4 linked regions of the Cricetulus griseus genome follow. The protein of the gene in region 1 binds, or shares a complex with, the protein of each later gene. Links are inferred from orthologs where the notes say so. Each region holds a gene or a part of one and is shown on either strand. Other genes may lie near its edges. The genes, in order: Polr2h, Polr1h, Gtf2h4 and Gtf2e2.

Region 1 (6,027 bases):
TCTACATAGTGAGTTCCAAGACAGCCCAGGCTACATAGAGAGACCCTATCTCAAAATAAAATAAAATAAAATAAAATTGAGGGGAATTTTCACCTGACAAGGGAAGTATGTTAGACAAAAAAAAAAAGAAAACATTATAAAGGATCTTAAAGGGAAAAGTAAACAAAAGAAAAGAAAAAAGACAGCTAGACCACTCCAACGCTTGTTTTTGTTTTCTCAAAACAGGGTCTCACTATCTCTGGCTGTCCTAGAACTTACTCTGTAAACCAGCTGACCTTGAACTCACAGAGATCTACCTGCCTCTACTTCCCAGGTGCTGGGATTAAAGGTGTGCACCACACCAGCTATTTAAATTGTAAAAAACGTCCTCCTAGGTGACTTTTGTTCTTTTTCACATTAATTTTCTGCTTCAAGATTCTAACAACCATATTGTTTTAAAATCAATTTTGTTTTGGTTTTTCAAGACAGGGTTTCTCTGTGGCTTTGGAGCCTGTCCTGGAACTAGTCTCTGCCTCCCGAGTGCTGGGATTAAAGGCGTGTGCCACCACTGCCCGGCATTTAAAACCAATTTTAAAGAAAAAGAAAAATTAGGCAGGGAAACTAAAGAACCAAGGTCTGGGTTACAGAGTAGCAACACATACACAAGTAAAAAATAAAAAGGCCTAGTCATGAAATGCTGCTTGTGATCCCCCAAGATGTTCTCTGTTGTCCCTCATGAAGCAAGATTACCAAAGTCTCCTGTGGGCCACAGGGCCTTGAAATCCTGATAGCAGGTGATGTAAGTAATCAAAATTCAGACTAGAAACTGTTCCCAAAACAAATTCTTCCACCCCGGCTTCGGGTACTAGAAAAAACAAAGAACCTGATACAGAAGGAGAAGCATGACCCAATTTCACAACAGGGAGGTTGGATTATTAACAGCCAGACAATGTTACTTACAGACGTGTCGCCGCTTCGGTTGAGGTCTCATCCCCCTCAATCCTATATACTTTCCCATACATGACATACTCAAACTGGTCCGCCCTACAAACAATAGGCAAAGTTACTTTTCACAGCAATCAATAGTGTAAGAGACATTTAAAAATGGAAACTGAGCCAGGCATGGTGGCACAATCCCAGCACTCAGGAATCAGAGGCAGAGGCAGAGACAGAGGCCTGTGAGTTTTCGGCCAGCCTGACAGTCTACAGAGTAAGTTCCAGGATAGTCACGGCCACACAAAGAAACCTTGTCTCGAAAAACCAAAAAGATAGAAATAATTAAAATAGAAACTGATAACAACAAATGCCATGGAAGCGCAACCTTATTTGGCTTTCACATCAATTCAGTGAACTAGAAATGACTGTCTGTACTTTATTGATAAGGAAATGGAAGATGGAAGTAGTGGAGCTGAGAAGTAAAAGTTCAGTATATAGTCATGGCTGTCCTAACTGGCTATGTAGACCAGGCTAGCCTCAAACTCACAGAGGTCTCCTGCCTCTGCCTCCTAAATGCTGGGATTAAGTGTGTGTACCACCAGACCCAATACTCCACAGTCTTTCTGTCACACCAAAATCTAGGTTACTATGTAATCATTTTCTAGGCCTTAAAAAAGCTACATTTGCAGGGTGTGGTGGTACATACCTTTAATTCCAACACTGAGGAGGCAGAGGAGGTGGATGTCATCTGTGAGTTTGAGACCAGCTTGGTCTACATAGTCCAGGCCAACCAGGACTACAAAGTGAGACCCTGTCTCAAATAAATAAACAACTGCAGTTCACAAGCTTCCACTCACTGCTCTCACTAAGTAATCAAGCCAGTTGTTTGAAATTTTTTTCAAATTTTTTAGAGACAGGGTCTCCAGCCCAGGTTGGTCTCAGATTTGATGTGCAGCCAATGGTGTTCTTGAACTCCTCATCCTCCTGCCTCATCTCCCGAGTTCTGGAATTACAGACACAAACCATCACACCCAGTTCTGGTTGTGTGAATTCTAAGTGCAGTAATGTCTTTTTCTAGCAGTAAAATAAAGACCATTCTATGTACTACTTATCTATTTAGTCCCTCCTTTACCACCGCCTCACCTGGAAGGCCTGTCATCTGTGGGGTTGTATTCACCATCATCCAAGGTACCATCTTCATACAAAGTACTAGCTATGACCAATCGGAACTTGTCACCTGAAAAGAGCATCAAGCGGAAACCAAAGATAAAAATCACTTGCTAAAGCCAGTCGTTGGCAGCACATGCTTTTAATCCCAGTACTCAGGAGGCAGAGGCAAGCGGATCTCTGTGAGTTCGAGACCAGCCTGTTCTACAAGAGCTAGTTCCAGGACAGCCTCCAAAGCCATAGAGAAAACCTGTCTCGAAAAACAAACAAACAAACAAAAAAATTCACTTGCTAGCTCCTGTGTTGGACACTTACCCAAGTCCACTGGGTAAATCTGAATGTTCACGTCTAAGATGAGGTCCATCTTGAAAGATTCACTCTCACAGTGCAGCCGAGATACTGGGAAAGAGCGACAGACATAATTACAGGCAACAGAGTCGGGGTCGAATGCAGGAGAACAAATCTTTCAACTAGTCCACAGCCATTAGCCTTGCTCTGGGACACAGACACAGAGTGCAATCCAAATCAGATTCAGAGAAGAAAGGGAGTAAACACCTCAGCAAGTGTCAGGATCCCAAGAAAGAAGCAGAACTTCTCTGGCAGCAACCCGTCTCTAGGCTCTAAGCACACCTGGATGATTTAGACTAAACTCAACTCTGAACAAGATAGTCATTAGTCCAGAGATCCCCACTTCCTAGTAGGCACTCTGCGGAGGGAATAGGCAGGGTGTATTGAGAACTGACACCTGTCTTTAAAAATGGGGGGGGCACGCCTTTAATCCCAGCACTTGGGAGGCAGAGGCAGGTGGATCTCTGAGTTCAAGGCCAGTCTGGTCTACAAAGCAAGTTCCAAGACAGCCAGAGCTACAAAGAGAATCTGTATTGGGGGGGGGGGGGTCTGTCTCCAGGTAAAGTGACACTGAGAAGAAACAACTTCCGGATTACTGGGAAATGAATACACCAAGCAGTCAGCTGCATGAAATTTATAGAGGACTCGGCAAAGGGCTAACAATTCTTGGGGCAATACAAAACTATGGGTTAGGAAGACAGGGAGGTAACTCGCTGCACGGCCTTAAGTAACAAAATAGATCGGGCACCATCACTTCTTACTACAATACTTAAGTGTGCGAGAGAGGCGCACGGTACATACAGCACGTAATACTGAATAAGGAGTCAGAAAGGTGTCCAGGGCTTTCCCAACCCCAAAGCCAAGGGCCACCGAGGCACCAGACACCGCAAACATCATAGGAAAAGCTGTCCCAAGTTTCTCATTATGAAAAACACTGTTTCCTGAGGGAGGTACCGAGAGGGTGGGACGGGCCACTTGGGGTGGGTGGGCATGTTTGGCCTCTTCCTCACCTCCCCTACACACCTTACCTCGGTCAAATTTCTTGCCTTCTGGGTCAATGTCTTTCACATCAAAAATATCCTCGAACAGGATGCCCGCCATCGTAAGGGGCACGAGAACTGCAGAGGTGCGGAGCGCGCGGCCACCACTGGGAATTCGCGCACCCCCTCACGTGGAGAAAAGAAGACAGGGCAGAGTACCGCCCCAAAAAGCGGCAACCAGCCGCAGGGCGCATGCGCACAGGCTTCAGCAACGCAGCCACTTCCGCTGCCTCCCCTCGGGGCTCCTTCACTTCCGCCGGGAAAGGCCACCTCGGAGTGGCTCGGACCTTGTGGGCGAGTCTCAAAGCGCGGTGACTCCGCCCAAGGCGGGGACAGACTAAGTCCCACCCCCGGCGGGTACCGCGATGCGCCCGGCTCTAGGGCGCCCTCTTCAGACCCCGGATCCCGATGCTTGGAAGGCTCCGGGACCGGACCCAGCCAGGAACCTTGATCCTTGGCCCAGAGGGAGCCCGGCCCTAGCCCTTCCCTGCGGTCCGCGTGCCCGCCGAGGGCACAGTCCGTGCTGCAGGAGGGTGAAGCCGAACTCCACCCGCAGAGCGCCCGCCCAGCGGGACGCAGTGCCCAGCCCCTCGGACGGCCACCAAGGTTCCCCACGCTGGTCCGAGCTGGCTCTGACCAGCTAGACGTCACCCGAGCCGGGTCCGTCCGGTTTGGGAATTTGCCGTGATGTCACTGTCAGGGAAAGGAAAGCCCGCATTGTGCCCTCGCCTGGGGCTTCACCTCCTCGCCACGCCGGTCTTCCCTTGGCCCTGCTTGGCACTAACTCTGATCCCCTAGAACACTGCCAATTGAACTTGGTACTGCCTGTCACCCCACTACACTACCCTCTTCTGGACACTGATCCAGTGCGCTTCCACCCGACACTGGCCTTTCCCTGGGAAACGACAGCTCGCAGCGCGCTCTTTCCAGGTGCTATCTCCTTTCATCGCAGCCCCCGTACTGGGCACCGTACGCTCCCCTTGAGCACCACCCTCTGTTTGCTGAATGAGTCTTCATCCTGATGCTGTTCTTTCTACACGGATTTCTGGGCACCGTCCTCTCCAGTGGCACCAACCTAACGCTGTCCATCCTCTTTGTGCCAACGCCACACTGTTCTTATCCTTCCAAGGATCCCGAAAGACAACGTAGAGCTTCACTGGGCCGCTTCCTCGAGGCGTCAGCAGCTACTCAAGTTCCCCCTTTAAGCGATGCCTGGGAGGAGCGACCTCTGCTCCCCCACGCCCGCCTCCCAGGAGCAGCCTCCCCCGCACCAATAGCTCCCTTCCCTCGGGCCTCACCCCTTCCCGTCCCCTCCCACCTCCACCTCCGCCCCGATCTCCAGGCCTAGCAGTTCCAGGTGCACCTTCCCGGGGGAACCCGGAGGAAAAGAAGAAAGGAGGAAGGGAGGCGATAAGGGAGCGGGCTCTCAGGAATCCTCCCAGACCCGTCTGAGCCGCCAGCAAACGCGAAGCAGAGGCTGCCCCAGTCGAGTCTGGCCTGGAGAGCCCGAGATAGCTCGTCAGCAGCCCCCTGCCCCAGCCCTGGAGTCACTACATCCTCAGCCCCTCCCGCACAACGCTGCAGCCGCCCGAGAGCCCGTCCCCTCCACGTGCCAGCGGACCCGCCCCCGTCCGGCCCCGCACCCTCTCGGGGCCGGGTCAGCCCCCGGCCTCCCCAGAGAAGGGGTGCAAGATCGCGTTGCAAGCGCCCCCTGCCGCTTCTCCGGAGGCCAGGAGGCGGCTCCAATGCAGACCCCAGCCCGACCGGACGCCCCTGCAGATGGGCCAGGGCGGAGCAGCAAGCAGGGCACCGCCCTCGGCCCGCCCGCCAAGGAGGGGACGCTAGCGAGAGGCTGAGCCTGCGGCGCGCGCCCGGGGACCGTCGCACTCTGCACTCGGCCGCCGGGGCTGAGGGGACGGGACGGGTGCGGGCGCGGGCTCAGCGGGCCGGGAGCTGAGTCAAGGCCAGAGCCCGAGAAGCCAAGGGAGGCAAGAGGACAGTGCACCGAGATGGCGGCCGCCACGGCCGCGGCGGCGGCGGCGGCGGCGGGGGAAGGGATGGAGCCTCGGGCGCTGCAGTATGAGCAGACCCTGGTAAGTGAAACCTAAGGGGTGCGCTATGGCACCACTGCTGCAGGTTGCCCTAGGAAGTGTGAGCACAGGCGGCCTACCCAAGCCCGGCCTCAGCCTTCCTCAGCTGTGGAAACTGAGGTTCGGGATCCGACAGGCTATAGGTTCAGGGTGTTTGAAAGCTGCTTGCTGGTTTCTGGCTGAGACTGGTGGCCTGGAGAGGACAATGACACCAGGTGTTTGGCCCAGGTGTCCTTCCCCTTACTCCCTTCGGCTGACACGATTTTGTTTTTTCCACTTACCAAGTTACAGCACCCCAGTACCCTTTCTCGATACCTGTGAACTTTCTCCAAATGCCTATCCACATTCTACACCTTCCCTGTGTCCCTACTATGCCACAGCATTAAGCTGGACATAAAGACTGCAGGGAAGTAATCAAATCCAAACCTACCCCCTGCCTTTAAAGACTCAAAGTCCAGCATTGACAA
Region 2 (5,829 bases), on another chromosome or scaffold:
TTTTCCATTACCATTGGAGGCAGCTGTCTCAAAGAACAGCAATCTTTGCCAGGCTTATAAGGTGAGAGGTTTTTTTCCTCTCTGTGGAAGAGGGACATGGAAAAGACTGACCTTGTTTTGTCTAGGCAAAGAGGGTGCAATCAATTTTCCAGTGTCCAGCTTTGTCCACAGTCTCGGCTAGGTCCTGGCAGGCGGCAGGTATCACATCTGAGCATCTCGCTCACTGGTCCAGGTGCAGGACTGAGGTGCCTCATAATCTTCTTTGGAGACTTTGGGTCACTGTCAGGATCTGACAGTCTGTCTGACATTATAAACTTTAAAGATAACAATTTAAATGCCATATTCTGAAGATCTCTGAAGCATTAGAGGTCTGTTTGTCTGTTTTAGTTGCTTGCCTTTGAAAGACCCCCGAAGAGGTACTTTCGTAGAAGGAGACCCGCACCCAGGAATCAGCGAGGCCACGAACTTGGATGCAAAAGCAAGAGGCTTTATTGGAGACACGAGTACCCGGGGCGACTTAGCTTCTGTGTGGCTAAGCGCCCCGAGCCAAGGGAAAGGGGTCCTTATATAGGGAAAAAGGCGCAAGCTAGGAGCAGGGATTCTATTGGATAATTCTAATGAGGCATTGTACAGAGCTATTCCCATTGGTACAACAGACTCAATTCCCCCTCCCTCCGCGTCCAGATGGCTGACCTTGGGGGCGGAGACCTTGGGACGGAGTGTTTCTCATCGGGCGGGGGCTCAGGGGCCGGGCTCCAGGCCGGCTCACTTGGTGTTTGCCCTCGTGCCGGCCCACCTGGTGCTCGTTCTCGGGCCAGCCCATCTGGTGCTCGTTCTCGGGCCAGCCCACCTGGTGCTCGTTCTCGGGCTGGGCGTGCGGCTGGTGGCGGGGGAAGTGGAAGCCGCCGGGGGTGGGGATCGGGGAAGCCGCCGACAGGAGGAAGAGGAGACAAACTTGAGAAAGAAAGGGCTAAGGGGCAGGGGTCTTTCACCTTAAGCACACAAGAAACATACAGGTGGCTAGGTGAGGTCTCATTTCTGTAATTAATTTTCAGCCTGACTGTAACTGGTTTTAACTTAGTAAAATATTTGAAACTTAGCACAGCTGAATTTAAGACTGCATAGGGTTACATTATAGTCCTTAAACAGTAGCTACAAGTACACATTTTAGCTGCTTGCTCAAATGAGACAGGGTTTTTCTGTGGCTTTGGACCCTGTCCTGGAATTCAATATGCTGGACCAGGCAGGCCTTGAACTCAAAAAGATCCATCTGCCTCTGCCTCTGGAGTGCTGGGATTAAAGGCGTGTGCCACCAACACCCTAAACTTAACTTCTGAAAAGATAAACATCTTATAATAGATTAGCAGCTTTTATAAAACAAGAATTTTACATTGTCAGGCTTTGCTTAAAAATAATTTTAAATTGAAGCTCTTTAAGTACAAACATTAATAAAAATAAACATTTAAAAAACTGGTTTTAAAAAGAAATTTAAATTCCCTTAATATCTTTCTGTAATATATAGAAGCATTAACACTTTAAATCTTAACTGAAAAGCTTGTTTCTAAGATGGAACCTCTAATTTCCACGCGGTCATCTTTAGTCAGGATGGCGGTTTAAGTATCTTTTTTCAACTTCAGCAAAATGGCTGCCAGTCAGCCATGTGACCAGTTTGCCATGTGGCTGGTTACAAAATGGCCATAACTTGCACCCTTTGCTTAACATGCTTGTAACAGAACTTAGGTTATACCAGGAAAAAGAACATTTTAAAACAAGTATACATAAATTACTTGAGAAATAAACAGGACTTTTTAAAAACAGAATTAGCTTAATATGGTTAAAATTTTAACTTATATTACCATTTTTAAAATTTACTATTTGTTGACATGAGAAACCATAGCAAACAGTTTACATTTTTCTCTTTTAATAATCTCTTTTCTGACCTTCTATGACTTGCTTTAACTTTCTATAACTTTTTATAGTTCTTTCCTCTGATTTTCTTAGACATTCTTAGACAAATTTTTCTTTTTCCTTTTTCTCTTTATTATTTAAGTCTCCTACATTTTCTCTCATTTCTCAGTCAATGTAAAAATTTTTATCAAAGTCCCTTTTACAGTTTTTAATAACTTTTAATAACTTTAAGGCCTTTTTTTTTTTTTAGAAGTCCGGATCAGGCCAGATAAGTTCATACGCCCCAGCTCCATGTGCTCAAGGCAGAGACCTGGGGTGGGGGTGTTGGTGGTAACCCCAGACCCTTGGCCAATGCAGGGGTGGGATAATGGGATAAAGACCCCCTCGGTCCCCCTGCATACCATGTGTGTGGAGCACAGAGAAGGCCGAGCAGCCAGGCAGATGGCGGGCCTTGCAGCCATGTTCCCTCAGAGCAGGGAAACTCCCTTGGCAGGCAGGATGGCAGCTGGGGCAGAAACAGCCCCACTTGGCATGCCTCACAGACCCGCAGGTGGGGATAGAAAGGGGGTGGTGTGGTGGATCCTGAATTGAAAACCAATGATGATAACACAGAATAGACAGGAAAGAACAGACGCCAACCCAATCCGCCCGCGCCGCTTATAAGGCAATGGCGACGGAAGATGGGCTGCAGAACCCAGCGGCTACAATCATCACTAACTGAGGAGGATCCAAGTCCTTGGCCTCCGTTCGTACCTCCTGGGTGTCCTCAGAGCAGCAGTCTGTCCTCCGGGCGCATCTGCTGATCACAGTTGAGGTGGCATCATGTGCTCAGAGCATCAAGAAAAGACCCCTGACCCATGCATTCCATGTGCATGGGCAGTAGGGACAGAAAGAGATGTTTAACACAGACTAGGGTCCTATTCGGAATTTCAGATGGCTAGCCCCGTGGAGATCAACTTGGTTCGAAACCAAGTCTCCCCTATAGATTTCGGAAGGCTGCCGCCCGAACTTCCGCCTTAAACAATTCTTGTAGGCCTACTCACAGATGTCGCCAGAAACCCCAACATAGGACCTCCATATCCACAAAATTAACAGAAATAGTAAAATTGACACACAAGCAGACGGTTAGGGTGTGGGCTGCAACAGATCAGATAACAGATAACAAACCTGTTGCTCAACTGTTCAGTCACCCAGCCCATTCCAATCCTCTAGGCTTAACAGACACCAACAGCAAAACAGGACATCAGACAGGACAAACCCTGTGGCAAAGAAATGGTGCCCCAAACCAAAATTACAAACAACCCTTGGACTTCATCCAGGGCGGAACCAAGGATTCCAGAAATACGTCTATTTCTGTGCACGTCTGCTTACCCTATGGTTCAATTCAAATAGCCCTCGGACTTTTGTCCAGGACGGGACTTTGAAATATGTCTATTTCCCCCTGAAGTCCAAATTACAAATCACGAGTCCTGCGCAGGCTCAGATCAACAAAAGAGCAATTTCAAGTGGCACCAAACCAACAAAAACAAGCAAACATATAACATTGAACATATAAGTTGCGAGCTCGAATCATCTTACCTCCAAGATCGAATCCATTCAGGTGAAGGGTGGTCGCAAATCGCGGACGAGCCCCCAAATGTTAGACCCCCCGGAAAACTCAGGTATCCGGGGTCCCAGGCCACATTCTCGGTCACCCCAATCACCAGGCGGATTCGAGAGCTTGATGCAAACTGCATGAGGCTTTATTGTAATTTAACAAGCTAACCCCATGTTAGCTCGGGTCTTTTACCCACCCGCCGTGGCAGATGGCTCGCAAAAGACAGCTCCTAGGGTCTCCCAAGAGATCTTACAGGGCAGCGTAAGGGGAGTGTCTAGGGGTATGCACAGGCTCACTATTGGTGTGCCTCCAGCCTTGGAGGGCTTGCCCTGTGTTGATTGGCCAACTGGTTGTTATGGCCCATAGGCCCTCCCAGGGTGGTTGCTATGCTTTGTGCGTCATTGCTGAGTGCTTATCCATAAAGCACACCCTGGGTCATAAAGTATAGCGCCACCAGCTAACTTCTGATTGGTTCCTTGTCTCGAGGCAGGCATCTGACTTTCTAGTGACTAACTTCTGATTGGTTCCTTGTCACTAGGCAGGCATCTGACCTCTAAGTGACCAAGACAAGGTTATGGCAAGCATGTGTTCGGCTGTTATGGCTGCTGAAAGGGAAGCTGGTCCCTTCACTATCAGTCTCCACATGAGTTCATGCCCATGCAGAAACACCCACATGAATATCCAGAGCTGTCTAAAGGGTCACAGCATCAAGAAGGTTGAGAACCACTGCTCTAGTAAGTGAAGAGAGTGAAAATGCTAGACTTAGGAGTCAGAATGGAATGGTGAGAACCAATTCCTGGAGAAATGATCTGAGAGCAAGGACATCATTTTCCAGCTATGGGAAGGAAAGGACCAAGCAGGATGCAGGATTATGAAGTCCTAGAGGAAACCCCTAGCCTAGGACCTCAGATCAGGAGGCATGAGAGAAAACATTTTCTTTAAGCTTGGTAGGTTGGTAAATGCCTGTAATCCCAGAGCTTAGACAGGATCATTTGGAGCCAGAAGACAGTGGGCTTCGTAGTAAAGCCCCGTAACAACTCAGGCTGAAAAGTGGAACATCACCATACTCCAGAAAGCTTCATGTACTCCCACTCATAGCCACCTCCCGGCATCCAAGAATGTATTTCTAAGTGGTACTATTTGCAGTTACATTGTGGGGATGAACTTTTATTCATTGATGTTTTTAAATTCATCCTTGAAGATATATAGAACTTAAAATGAATGTGCTAAAAACAAATTACCTGGTCTGTTCACATAATTTGCACTATTGATTTTTTTTCTCAACTTGGAGTTATGCTTTTACAAAGAAAAAAAGAGCAATAACAATTCTATCCTTATGTTTCTAGTTCATGTGCAGGATTTTCTCCAGGACATGTTTGTTGCTCAGTCACTTAACAAGCCTGCTCCTATACCTTGCTATATTCCCATTCCATTGTGGTTATATACTCATAGTTAATAGGTCTGGGCATAATGGTAAAACCTACATACTCAAGAGGTGGAGGCAAGAGAATTGTTGGAAGTTCAAGGCTAGCTTGGGCTACATAGTAAGTTCCAAGCCAGCTTGAGACTCTGTATCAAAAACAATGAAAAAGAAAACCCTCAAATTAATAGTATAAGAGATGAAAGGGGGGGGGAACATTACATCAGATGGCAGCAAAATCAGAGTATAATTAACTAGTATGTTAATTTTAAAAACAACTTTTTAAATTTCACATACTTATTTACTTGTATTGTATGACTGTTTTGCCTTCATGTATGTCTGTTTGCCATGTGTGTACATGGTCCCTGTGGAGGTGAGAAGAGGACATCAGATCTGTGAAACAGGTAACAGGTGGCTGTGAACCATTGTGTAGGTGCTGGTAATTGAATGTGGGTTGTCTGCAAGAGCAGCCAGTGCTCAAACCACTGAGCCATCCCTCCAGGGCCCCAAACCCATGTTCTAATAAATTTGAAGATGCTTGTTATTCTTTTGCTTAAATTAGAAGAAAGAAGGCGCAAGATGAGACATGAGACTATAGAGATACATTAACGATAGTTTTTTATATCATGGGAGAGCAAGTGAGAGAGAAATAGAAGAACAGAGCAGGACAGAGAGAGAAGAGAGACAGAGTTAATGGCTGACTGCCATGGTCAGTCACCTGAGAGAGGAAGAAGAAAGATTAAGCGGGGAAGTTGGAACTTTTACCAGGAAGACTGTGCATGCACACTGAGGTTCCATGCATGTACAGAGTCCTCATGTCAGCCATAATATGTGACGGGTGACAATGTGGAGTAGCAGTCCCTGTGCGTGCCCCGACTGTTGTCAGGGGCAGGATTAGCAGGTG
Region 3 (4,294 bases), on another chromosome or scaffold:
AAAAGAAAGGTCGGCTGTGAAGCTGACCCATGCCCACCACGTTGGGGGGGCTGCTTATCGGTCCTAGCGACCTCATAGGCCCAGCACTAACCTGATACTCTGGCTTGAAGAAGCCCTCTCGCACCCACCACTGGTACCAGGCCGCCTCAACATATCGGGGACTGTAAGCAGGAGGCAGGGGCCCAGAAACATCTGTACAAACACAAGAGATCCACTACTGAACTGCATTTCAGCAGGCCAAAGAGCAATAAAATAAAACAAAAACAAAAAACCCGTACCTTTCTTTTCACCTGGCTCGGTGGGGATTTCATACAATACTACCTCCTTGTGACTCCAGGCTTTCGAGGGCACTGCAGGTGACTGTAGGAAGGCGGAAATGGTGTGTGTGCGTGTGCGTTTGTGTGTGTGTGTGTGTGCGTTTGTGTGTGTGTGTGTGTGCGTTTGTGTGTGTGTGTGCGTGTTTTGCAATTCCCAGTACACACTGTAGGAAGGCGGAAATGTGTGTGTGTGTGTGTGTGCGTTTGTGTGTGTGTGTGTGTGTGTGCGTGTTTTGCAATTCCCAGTACACACTGTAGGAAGGCGGAAATGTGTGTGTGTGCTTTGCAATTCCCAGTACACCAGTCTCCTTCAGCCCCTTCCCAAGTCTTGAAGACCCAAGGGCTGACCCCTGACCTTGCTCCTCTCAGCTAGCCCGGCCTCCAGGGCCGCCTGCTTCTCCCGCAGGCGCTTCTGTTTGGCTTCACGGTTCCTCCGCGCGAGGGGTGAGCCTTGGAGCTCTGGCTGGGTACAAAGTTGCTGGGACTTGCAGAGCCCCCGGGCGGGCCTCAGCGCCCAGAGCGGTGGCCGGAGAGGGGACAGAGGTAAATGAGGCATCGGGAGTGTTTGGGAAGCAGTCGGGGTCGGGGTCGGGGTCGGCTTCAGGAGGACGCGGGGTGCGGGAGGTCACGCTGCCTCACTCCCACCGGCTGGATCCCCTGCTCTGTGTCCTCCCGCCTAGGGGCGGAGCGCATGGTGTCAACAGCCTTCTGCAGCCACTGAGACCCCCGCGCTGACGCGGAAGACAAGGCCGGGGATCGGGAACCAGGGAACCCCGCAAACCTCCACGACACGGCCCTAACTGGACCTCCGCGGCGGATCCTTCCTGCGTGTGAGCAGGGACGCCGCCGTCTGTGCGCACGCGCATGGGGGCGGGAACACGCCGGCGCGTGCGCACAAGACACTGGCTCCCCGGGTCCCACAGCCTCGGATGGGAAAACGCGTGCAGGTGTCTGGAACCGCTTATTTTTTTTTTCCGTTAATTTTATTAAACAAGAAATGTCCCGGTGTGTAAACAAAATACGCCTGAGTTGGGAAGCTGCCAGCCCGCTCGCTCGCTCGCTCGCCCGTCCGCCGGTCCGGCTCAGGAGCTGTGCTTCTGCCGCTTCCAAAAGCGCTTGACGTCGCTGTGCCCGGCCGGCGTCACCACCATCAGCCGCTTGGCCGAGTTCTCGAACACCAGCACGCCCAGCTCCCGCGCGTGGGCCAGCAGCAGTTCAAAGTCCACTTGCGACAGGAACTGGTTATACAGGACGCCTGGGGTCGGGTGGGCGGGCAGGAGGTGAGAGGGGCTGCGGTGGCCATGGCCCCTCCCCTCTGGGCGGCGTCTCCGCTGGGGCAGCAGGCCACAGTTTTAAGAACGGATTCTCTACGGATCACTGTGGATAACCTTAACACCCGTGGCATCCAGACGTTCGAAAAGACAACAGAATACCACAAGAAAAAACCATGCAAACCTACCCGGGGAGATGACTGGATTTCCCTGCCTCCTACCCTCACCTGGCTAGTTTGATCCAAACCGCACCGATTTGGGACATAGTTCCTGCTACCGATATATCACAGTAAAGGACGGGCTTTTCTCTCCCCCTCTCGGGGTGGGGGTGGAGGAAGGGAATAAAAAATGCACAAGACCCTTCTCACTCATCGCGGCCAAGTTGCTGACCTTACCTCTTTAGTCAGTGACCAAGATTAGGAGGTCAGCAGAGGCCACTCACCTTCCGTGAAACGAAGTCTGTCCCTTTCCAGCTCCCACAGCCGGATCTGGTCTGTAATGGTGGGAGGCAGCACAGGAGTCTGCGGGCGGACAAGGGGCGGAGCTATAGGACCCAGGGCAAGTGCCTAAAGCAGTCTCTGTGGGTTGGCTGACCCGCTCTCACCCATCCTCTTCTTGCTGGGTGCCCAGGCTGCCAGCCTCCAGCATCCTGGTACCCATCCATACCTGTTTGAGCATCACCGGATGGGCCCTGGTCCTTAGGAAATGGATGATCTGGGAAGACACAAGGATGCAGAAAGCCATCAGGGCAGTCACCGAATGCCACTGCGACAGCATCTCCTGTATTTGCCTAGACACGGGGACCTGACAGACCTGAGGCTATGCTCCCATGGCGGGGGTACCTCCTCCCACCTTGACCTCCACTTCAAGTAGGGATACCTGCTGGGCTGTGATGCCGCTGGCGATGGCCTGCTGCACACTCTCCCGGGTCACCTGTGCCACCACCATGTTGGGGAACCGGTAGAGCATCTCAGAGAAAAGTGCGATGAGCGCAATCTGTAGCTCCGACTCTGGCCCAGGGGTGAAGAGCCGTGAGGAGGCTGCCCATGCCTGCCTTCCTCTAGCCCTGCCCTCAGGTGTTAGAAGAGATACCAGAGGGCTCCTAAACCACACACACACACACACACACACACACACACACACACACACACACACACACACGGCCATAACCTCCAGCCTCACCAGTATAGGCATACAGTCGGTAATTGGTCTCCACGACAATGAAGCCTGGCTGATGCACACTGCCCCCGGCCCCAGAGACACCGGATGAGAGATTGATGGCCAGGCGTGTGGGGTAGTAACGCCGGGACTTCCTCTGGAAGGACACGGGGAAATACAGTCCTCTCTCAGGTCACCATCCTGACAGCTTCCTCTTAGACATCAGATCCCCCAGTGCAAAACCACCAACCTTTAACTCCCCCCCTCAAATGACCCAAGCACTCGGGCCTGGCAAGGGCTTTCTGCTGCACCCCAACACCCCACTCTCCTCAAAGCCAGGTGGCTGGGTGTGCGTACCTTCCTCTGGAAAACAAGCCCGAACTCACGCAGGTGTTGTAGGAAGTTCAACAAAGAATCACTCATACCCTCTACAGAGTAGTCCTGGGGGAAGAGATGGCCAGCTGGGGGCTGTGACTCGTCCTCCCACTCCCCGCCCAGCCCCCTGCACCCCTCCCCCTTTTTTTGCCTTCTCAGGTAGTTCTGTGATCATTCTATCTCTCCATGACGTCTCTTTACCTGCCTGTCCTCCACCCCCCTACTCACCTTGCCCAAAGTAGAGAAGCTGAGCTGGAAGAGGAAAGAGAGAATCTCTACCAGGTCCATGCCCCGACTCTGAGGAGAAAGGGGCAGAGCAAAAGGAGACATGAGAGAGGGGATGAGGCAGTGACGGGCAGAGTCTGGGGTGGTTGTGACTCAGTGGGACCTGAGAAGATCGGGCACACTGCCCTAGGCCCTGGCTCGTACCTGGGCGGTCTGCAGATACTGCAGCATGAAGTACCAGAGCTGGGCCGACGTGTCCAGCAGCAGGAACTGGAAGCCAGCAGAAGTGATACAAGGTGGCTCTCCAGGTTCAGCACTAGAAATGGAGAGAGGCGACGGTAGCGACATGCACAGAAGGGCTACCCGTTTCTGGTTACACCTATTCAAACCTCTTTCCCTACCCAACTCCCTTCACTCCCTCCTAACCCCAGGCACCCACTTTATTTGAGACCCGAGTGGCTGTGCCCTCCCCTCCTCACCTTTTCATGAGCCCAGCCTGGCTGAGGAGCTGAGCCAGGTCCTGGCTGACAGCTGCACTGGGAGAGCCCACCATGAAGTGCAGGACCACCTAGAGAAGAAAGGATCAGACAGGGGTCTCAAGGGCTCCCGGGAATGGGGGCCCAGCGGAGGCACACAGGGGCCGGATCCTCACCTCCCAACGCTCCTCAGCATACTTGTCAAGTGAGGGGACGTCCCGGGCATGCTTGTCTGGTCCCAGCTGACTTGTGTCATCAGACCAGGCCTTGCCCCTGTGGCCAGAATGGGCAGGAGTAAGGAGCCCTGTCTGCTTCCTGCTTCCCCACAGGCCATGAGAAGGGGACACTTTCTACACCCTACACCTACACCTGGTCCAATGCACTTTTGAAGGAGCTCCCCCCCCCCATCCCTGTAGTCAGCAGTTCCCCTGGCCTAGCTCAGGAAGAGAGGGAAACTACATACCCACCCAGA
Region 4 (4,490 bases), on another chromosome or scaffold:
GACAAAACTAGGGACATGGAGCATTGCAACATTCTCTATTCTGTATACTGGAAATATCACATTTTGGAAAGCTCAAAATAAACAATGATAAAGTATTAAGGGTTTTGGTGTGTGTATTCCACCACACCCCAAGACAGGGTTTTTCTGTGTAGCCCTGGATATCCTGGAACTAACTCTCTGCCGCCCAGCCAGGCCTCAAACTCACAGAGATCCATCTGACTCTGCCTCCCAAGTGCTGGGATTAAAGGCATGTGTCACCACTGCCCAGCGACAATAAATCTTTTTCTTTTATTCAGTGACTCTTAGAGAATCACTTTTTTAAAAAATGGAAAAATGGAAAGCTACAAAGTATGCGTGGAAGGGGAGAGAGCAGAGTCCCAAGTCTAGAGTGCTAGTAGTTCTTTCTGCCCCGGCTGTTCTTGAACTACAGGTTAGTGGTTACCAGATGCAGGGGGTTTACTAGCCTTCACTTTAATATCCACTATGAGTACAATTTAAGGACTAGAATGACAAATGTAAACGGTTCCTAAAAAATGACAATTCAGTATTATCAGGATATGACAGCTCCATCCAGGCATTGGTATGAAGGGGACAATGGAGGTCTAAGAAAGAGCACCAGATGAAGATGTGGCTCCTTTTTGAAACCAGGGAACGTATGTATGGGATGAGAGGCCAGAAATGTTAGTCCCTGACTGGACTCAAGTTGCACTGCTAGACAGGCTGGAGGATAAGAAAGCTCTCCCAGCTGGGTGTTGGTGGCCCACACCTTTAATCCCAGCACTCAGAAGGCAGAGGCAGGCGGATCTCTGTGAGTTTGAGACCAGCCTGGTCTACAACAGTTCGTTCCAGGACAGCCTCCAAAGCCACAGAGAAACCCTGTCTCGAAAACCAGAAAGAAAGAAAGAAAGAAAGAAAGAAAGAAAGAAAGAAAGAAAGAAAGAAAGAAAGAAAGAAAGAAAGCTCGCTCTCCCAAGCTGGGACATCACCATGGATGGTTCACTGGCCTCAATACATCAGATATGCCCAGCTGTATCTGGCAAGTCAATGAATGCATTAGGCTCCGAGAAAACCTAGTAGAGGGAATCCCTTCCTCACTTGTCAGAGGAAGAGGAGAAGCAGTGAAGAAGTGACGAAACTGCTTTTATAAAGATGACATACCACTTTCTTTGGTCCAGATTCCTGCATAGAAGAAATACCCTGTCGCTTGAGATAGTCTTCAATTTTCTCCTCATCCATTGAATCCACAGTGACGCTCCTCCACAGTTTCTGGAATTCTAAACCAACAAGACAGTAGTTACTTTATCATGGATTTTTATAAACCACTGTATCTTGTGATCTAAATTCACTTTGAATATTATCGGGCCTAAATCCATACAACTGAGATTTCACTAAAAAAACAAACAAACAAACAAATACCTATAATTGTAGCAGTCAGGAGGCAGAGCAGGCTGACCTCTGTGAATTCAAGGACAGCCAGGGTAGCAGCAAATTCAAGGCAGACAGGATACATAGTGAGATACAGTCTCAAAAAAAGAACGAGGGGAGGGAAGGCAAGACTATTCCAGTGCTGGACACAGCAACAGAAGGGGTCTCTGATCTGAAATGCAGCTGGACAGCCACCAGTGTGCTCTATTCTTCAGAAACAGTAAGAGAAGGATGGTGTGGCTGAAGCTTCTCCTATATTCCATGGGAAGAGAAGCAATTAACACTCTTCCCAAATCAGCTCCCTCCCTGTGGCACAAATTATTCAAATACTGGTTCAAGGCCCTGAGCGCAATGTATTCCACCTCTGTACTGAGAGTTAGAAGCATTTGGGGAGACGGGGCACCAAAGCTTTATATGAAGGTGACATGCTTGTTTGCTTACATTTTTTTTCTTTTTTTTAAATCTACTAACCAAGGAACTGGTAAGTCACAAAAAGGAAAACCAAAGCAAAACAGCTGGGGTGGGCTGAGAAATACGCATATGAAACAAAGTAGAAAGATGGGTGTCTAGCCTCCATGTCATTCATGTATTTGACACGCACGAATACAAAAATCCTTTGCACTTTAAATTCTTCTCCTAAAGACAGCTTTAATAACCAAGCTCATTAAGAGCCTTGTCAGCCTTTCCTTACACACACACACACACACACACACACACACACACACACACACACACACACACACAGAGTGATGGCCAAGTCTTACAGTGTGTACTCTGGGAACTGAGAAAGGGTGGCTCCCAAACACTGAGGTGGTTCACAAAGCTTCCTGTTTACCACAGCTCAGAGGCTGCAGACCAGACAACTATGCCAACCCCTACACCAACATGCCTCTTCCTTCCTTGCCAGTTCATTAACCACACACTTCATCTGCAAGCTATATGACAGCTCAGTGGCTAAGACTATTCTTGCGGGGAACCCATGATTTGATCCCCAATATGCACATGGTGGCTTACAACCTTCTATAACTCAAATTCTAGGGGTTCAGATGTCCTCTTCTGGCTTCCATGGCCTTGCTCACTCACATGCAGTGCACAGAAATACATGCAAGCGAAATACCCATGCACATAAAAAAAGATATTTTTTTTCAACTTTTATTACAAAACAAATGGTGACTAAGGCTGTACCCATGTGAATCCATGCATACTAACTAATGCATTATCTCAAGGGTCAGAGTTCATACAGCCAGTTCAGCTACTGTTTGGTATATTACCACACCTTCAACACACTCCTGAACTCTACCAGGAAGAAGGCCCCCAAATACACCTCTTTTCTGTATAACTCACTCAATCTGTGACACTTAACAAAAGACTGGGATACAATCTCAAACTAAGAGTAACAGCTGCGGGCAACATGACCACAAACTACATCACAGTTATAGTAATCAAGGCAGCACAAAAACACAGAAACAACCTACAAAAGAGAATATAGAAAGGACTAACTTAACATGAGTTAAAATAAATATCTCAGTTGGCTTTTCTTTTCTTTCTTCCCCTCTGCCCCAAGACAGGGTTTCTGTGTGTGTGTCCCTGACTGTCCTGAACTAGCTCTGTAGACCAAATTGGCATTGAACTCAGATCCATCTGCCTCTGCCTCTGAATGATGGAATTAAAGGTGTGCACTACCATCGCCAAGCTTAGTTAGTTTTCAATATGTGAAACAGTCTGTAAAAACAGAAAATGGGAGAAGGAAATATAAGGGTTGCTAGAGAGATGGCTCAGCAGTTAAAAGTAACTGCTGCTCTTCCAGGAGTCAGGTTGGCTTCCTCAGTACCCATATGGTGGTTCACAACCATCTCTTTACTCTAGTTTCAGGAAAAAGCCCTTTTCTGGCTTGTGTGGGCACCAGGCAGAGAAGTGTATGCAGATATACATGTAGGCAAAAAGTATAAAGTGTACCAGAAAAATCTACTTGAATCTACAAGTAGAAAAGGAAGGCAGGTTATCTCATACCATAGGTAATAGTCAACTCAACATGGATTAAAGACAGACAGAGACACAGACACACACAGTTTTTAAGAGCTCTCTCTTTTTTTTTTCTTTTAATTTATTATGTATACAGTGTTCTGCCTACATGTATCCTGGAAGGCCAGACAGAAGAGGGCACCTGATCTCATTACAGATGGCTGTGAGCTACTTTGTGGTTGCTGGGAATTGAACTCAGGACCTCTGGAAGACCAACTAGTGTTCTTAATCTCTGAGCCATCTCTCCAGCCCTGGTCCTGTTCATTTTTACTAAAGCTGTCAATCCTCCTTCCTCCACCTCCCCTGTGCTGGAATTACGGGCATCAACCATGGCCAGCAAGTTTTTAAATAAAACATTTTTCTTGCCGGGCATTGATGCCGCACACCTTCAATCTCAGCACTCGGGAGGCAGAGGCAGGAGGATCTCTGTGAGTTAGAGGCCAGCCTGGTCTCCAGAGTGAGTGCCAGGATAGGCTCCAAAGCTACACAGAGAAACCCTGTGTCAAAAAACAAAAACAAAAACAAAATCACTGACCAAGTAGGAGGAAATTTTTATTTCTGCTTACAGGTTACAGTCCAACACTATGGGAAGCTAACGCAGGAAAACTCTGCTTACTAGCTTGCTCCCTGCAACTTGTGTTCAACTAGCTTTCTTATAGAACCCAGGACCACCACCTAGGCTCCAAGGATGATACTACTCACATCAGGCTAATCTCTCCTACACCAATTAGCAATCAAGAAAATGCCCTACAGACATGCATTTTCTCAGACTGAAGTGCCCCTTTCTCAGTGTGTCAAGCTAGCAATTAAGATTAGCTAGAAGTAAGATACACTCTGAATGTAGATGGTTCCTTATCTTGAAGGGCTGAGGTTCCCAGGCTGAGTAACAAAACCAGCTGTCACTAGCACCTTTTTCTGTTTGCTGGCTACAGTCACAATGTGACAAGCTGTCTCTAAGTCCTGGTGCAATGCCTCCCTGACATGATAGCCTTTGTCTGTCTGTCTGCCTGTCTGTGTCTTTCTATCTTAATTTGTGAACCAAA

The links.
Region 2: Polr2h (region 1) and Polr1h share a complex: the UniProt entries of both Homo sapiens proteins name them as parts of the pol I pre-initiation complex. The link is inferred for Cricetulus griseus from reciprocal best matches to the Homo sapiens genes POLR2H and POLR1H.
Region 3: Polr2h (region 1) and Gtf2h4 share a complex: the UniProt entries of both Homo sapiens proteins name them as parts of the TBP-based Pol II pre-initiation complex. The link is inferred for Cricetulus griseus from reciprocal best matches to the Homo sapiens genes POLR2H and GTF2H4.
Region 4: Polr2h (region 1) and Gtf2e2 share a complex: the UniProt entries of both Homo sapiens proteins name them as parts of the TBP-based Pol II pre-initiation complex. The link is inferred for Cricetulus griseus from reciprocal best matches to the Homo sapiens genes POLR2H and GTF2E2.

The regions. Positions count from the first base shown.
Region 1 is NC_048597.1:67,931,084-67,937,110, forward strand, and holds the start of Polr2h (DNA-directed RNA polymerases I, II, and III subunit RPABC3), read right to left. Parts: upstream 3,874-6,027; 5' UTR 3,532-3,873; coding exon 3,459-3,531; intron 2,482-3,458; coding exon 2,398-2,481; intron 2,153-2,397; coding exon 2,059-2,152; intron 1,024-2,058; coding exon 940-1,023; intron 1-939. Other genes in the region: Clcn2 (chloride channel protein 2), read left to right, coding at 5,480-5,563. UniProt on the Homo sapiens protein: DNA-dependent RNA polymerase catalyzes the transcription of DNA into RNA using the four ribonucleoside triphosphates as substrates.
Region 2 is NW_023276806.1:228,751,153-228,756,981, reverse strand, and holds the start of Polr1h (DNA-directed RNA polymerase I subunit RPA12), read right to left. Parts: upstream 3,530-5,829; 5' UTR 3,487-3,529; intron 1-3,486. UniProt on the Homo sapiens protein: Core component of RNA polymerase I (Pol I), a DNA-dependent RNA polymerase which synthesizes ribosomal RNA precursors using the four ribonucleoside triphosphates as substrates. Can mediate Pol I proofreading of the nascent RNA transcript.
Region 3 is NW_023276806.1:229,574,012-229,578,305, forward strand, and holds the end of Gtf2h4 (general transcription factor IIH subunit 4), read right to left. Parts: coding exon 4,286-4,294; intron 4,096-4,285; coding exon 3,999-4,095; intron 3,915-3,998; coding exon 3,826-3,914; intron 3,663-3,825; coding exon 3,551-3,662; intron 3,419-3,550; coding exon 3,350-3,418; intron 3,188-3,349; coding exon 3,104-3,187; intron 2,904-3,103; coding exon 2,771-2,903; intron 2,599-2,770; coding exon 2,468-2,598; intron 2,303-2,467; coding exon 2,255-2,302; intron 2,110-2,254; coding exon 2,031-2,109; intron 1,573-2,030; coding exon 1,400-1,572; 3' UTR 1,279-1,399; downstream 1-1,278. Other genes in the region: Vars2 (valine--tRNA ligase, mitochondrial), read right to left, coding at 92-192, 279-360, 673-873. UniProt on the Homo sapiens protein: Component of the general transcription and DNA repair factor IIH (TFIIH) core complex, which is involved in general and transcription-coupled nucleotide excision repair (NER) of damaged DNA and, when complexed to CAK, in RNA transcription by RNA polymerase II.
Region 4 is NW_023276807.1:51,042,272-51,046,761, forward strand, and holds part of Gtf2e2 (transcription initiation factor IIE subunit beta), read right to left. Parts: intron 1,275-4,490; coding exon 1,159-1,274; intron 1-1,158. UniProt on the Homo sapiens protein: Recruits TFIIH to the initiation complex and stimulates the RNA polymerase II C-terminal domain kinase and DNA-dependent ATPase activities of TFIIH. Both TFIIH and TFIIE are required for promoter clearance by RNA polymerase.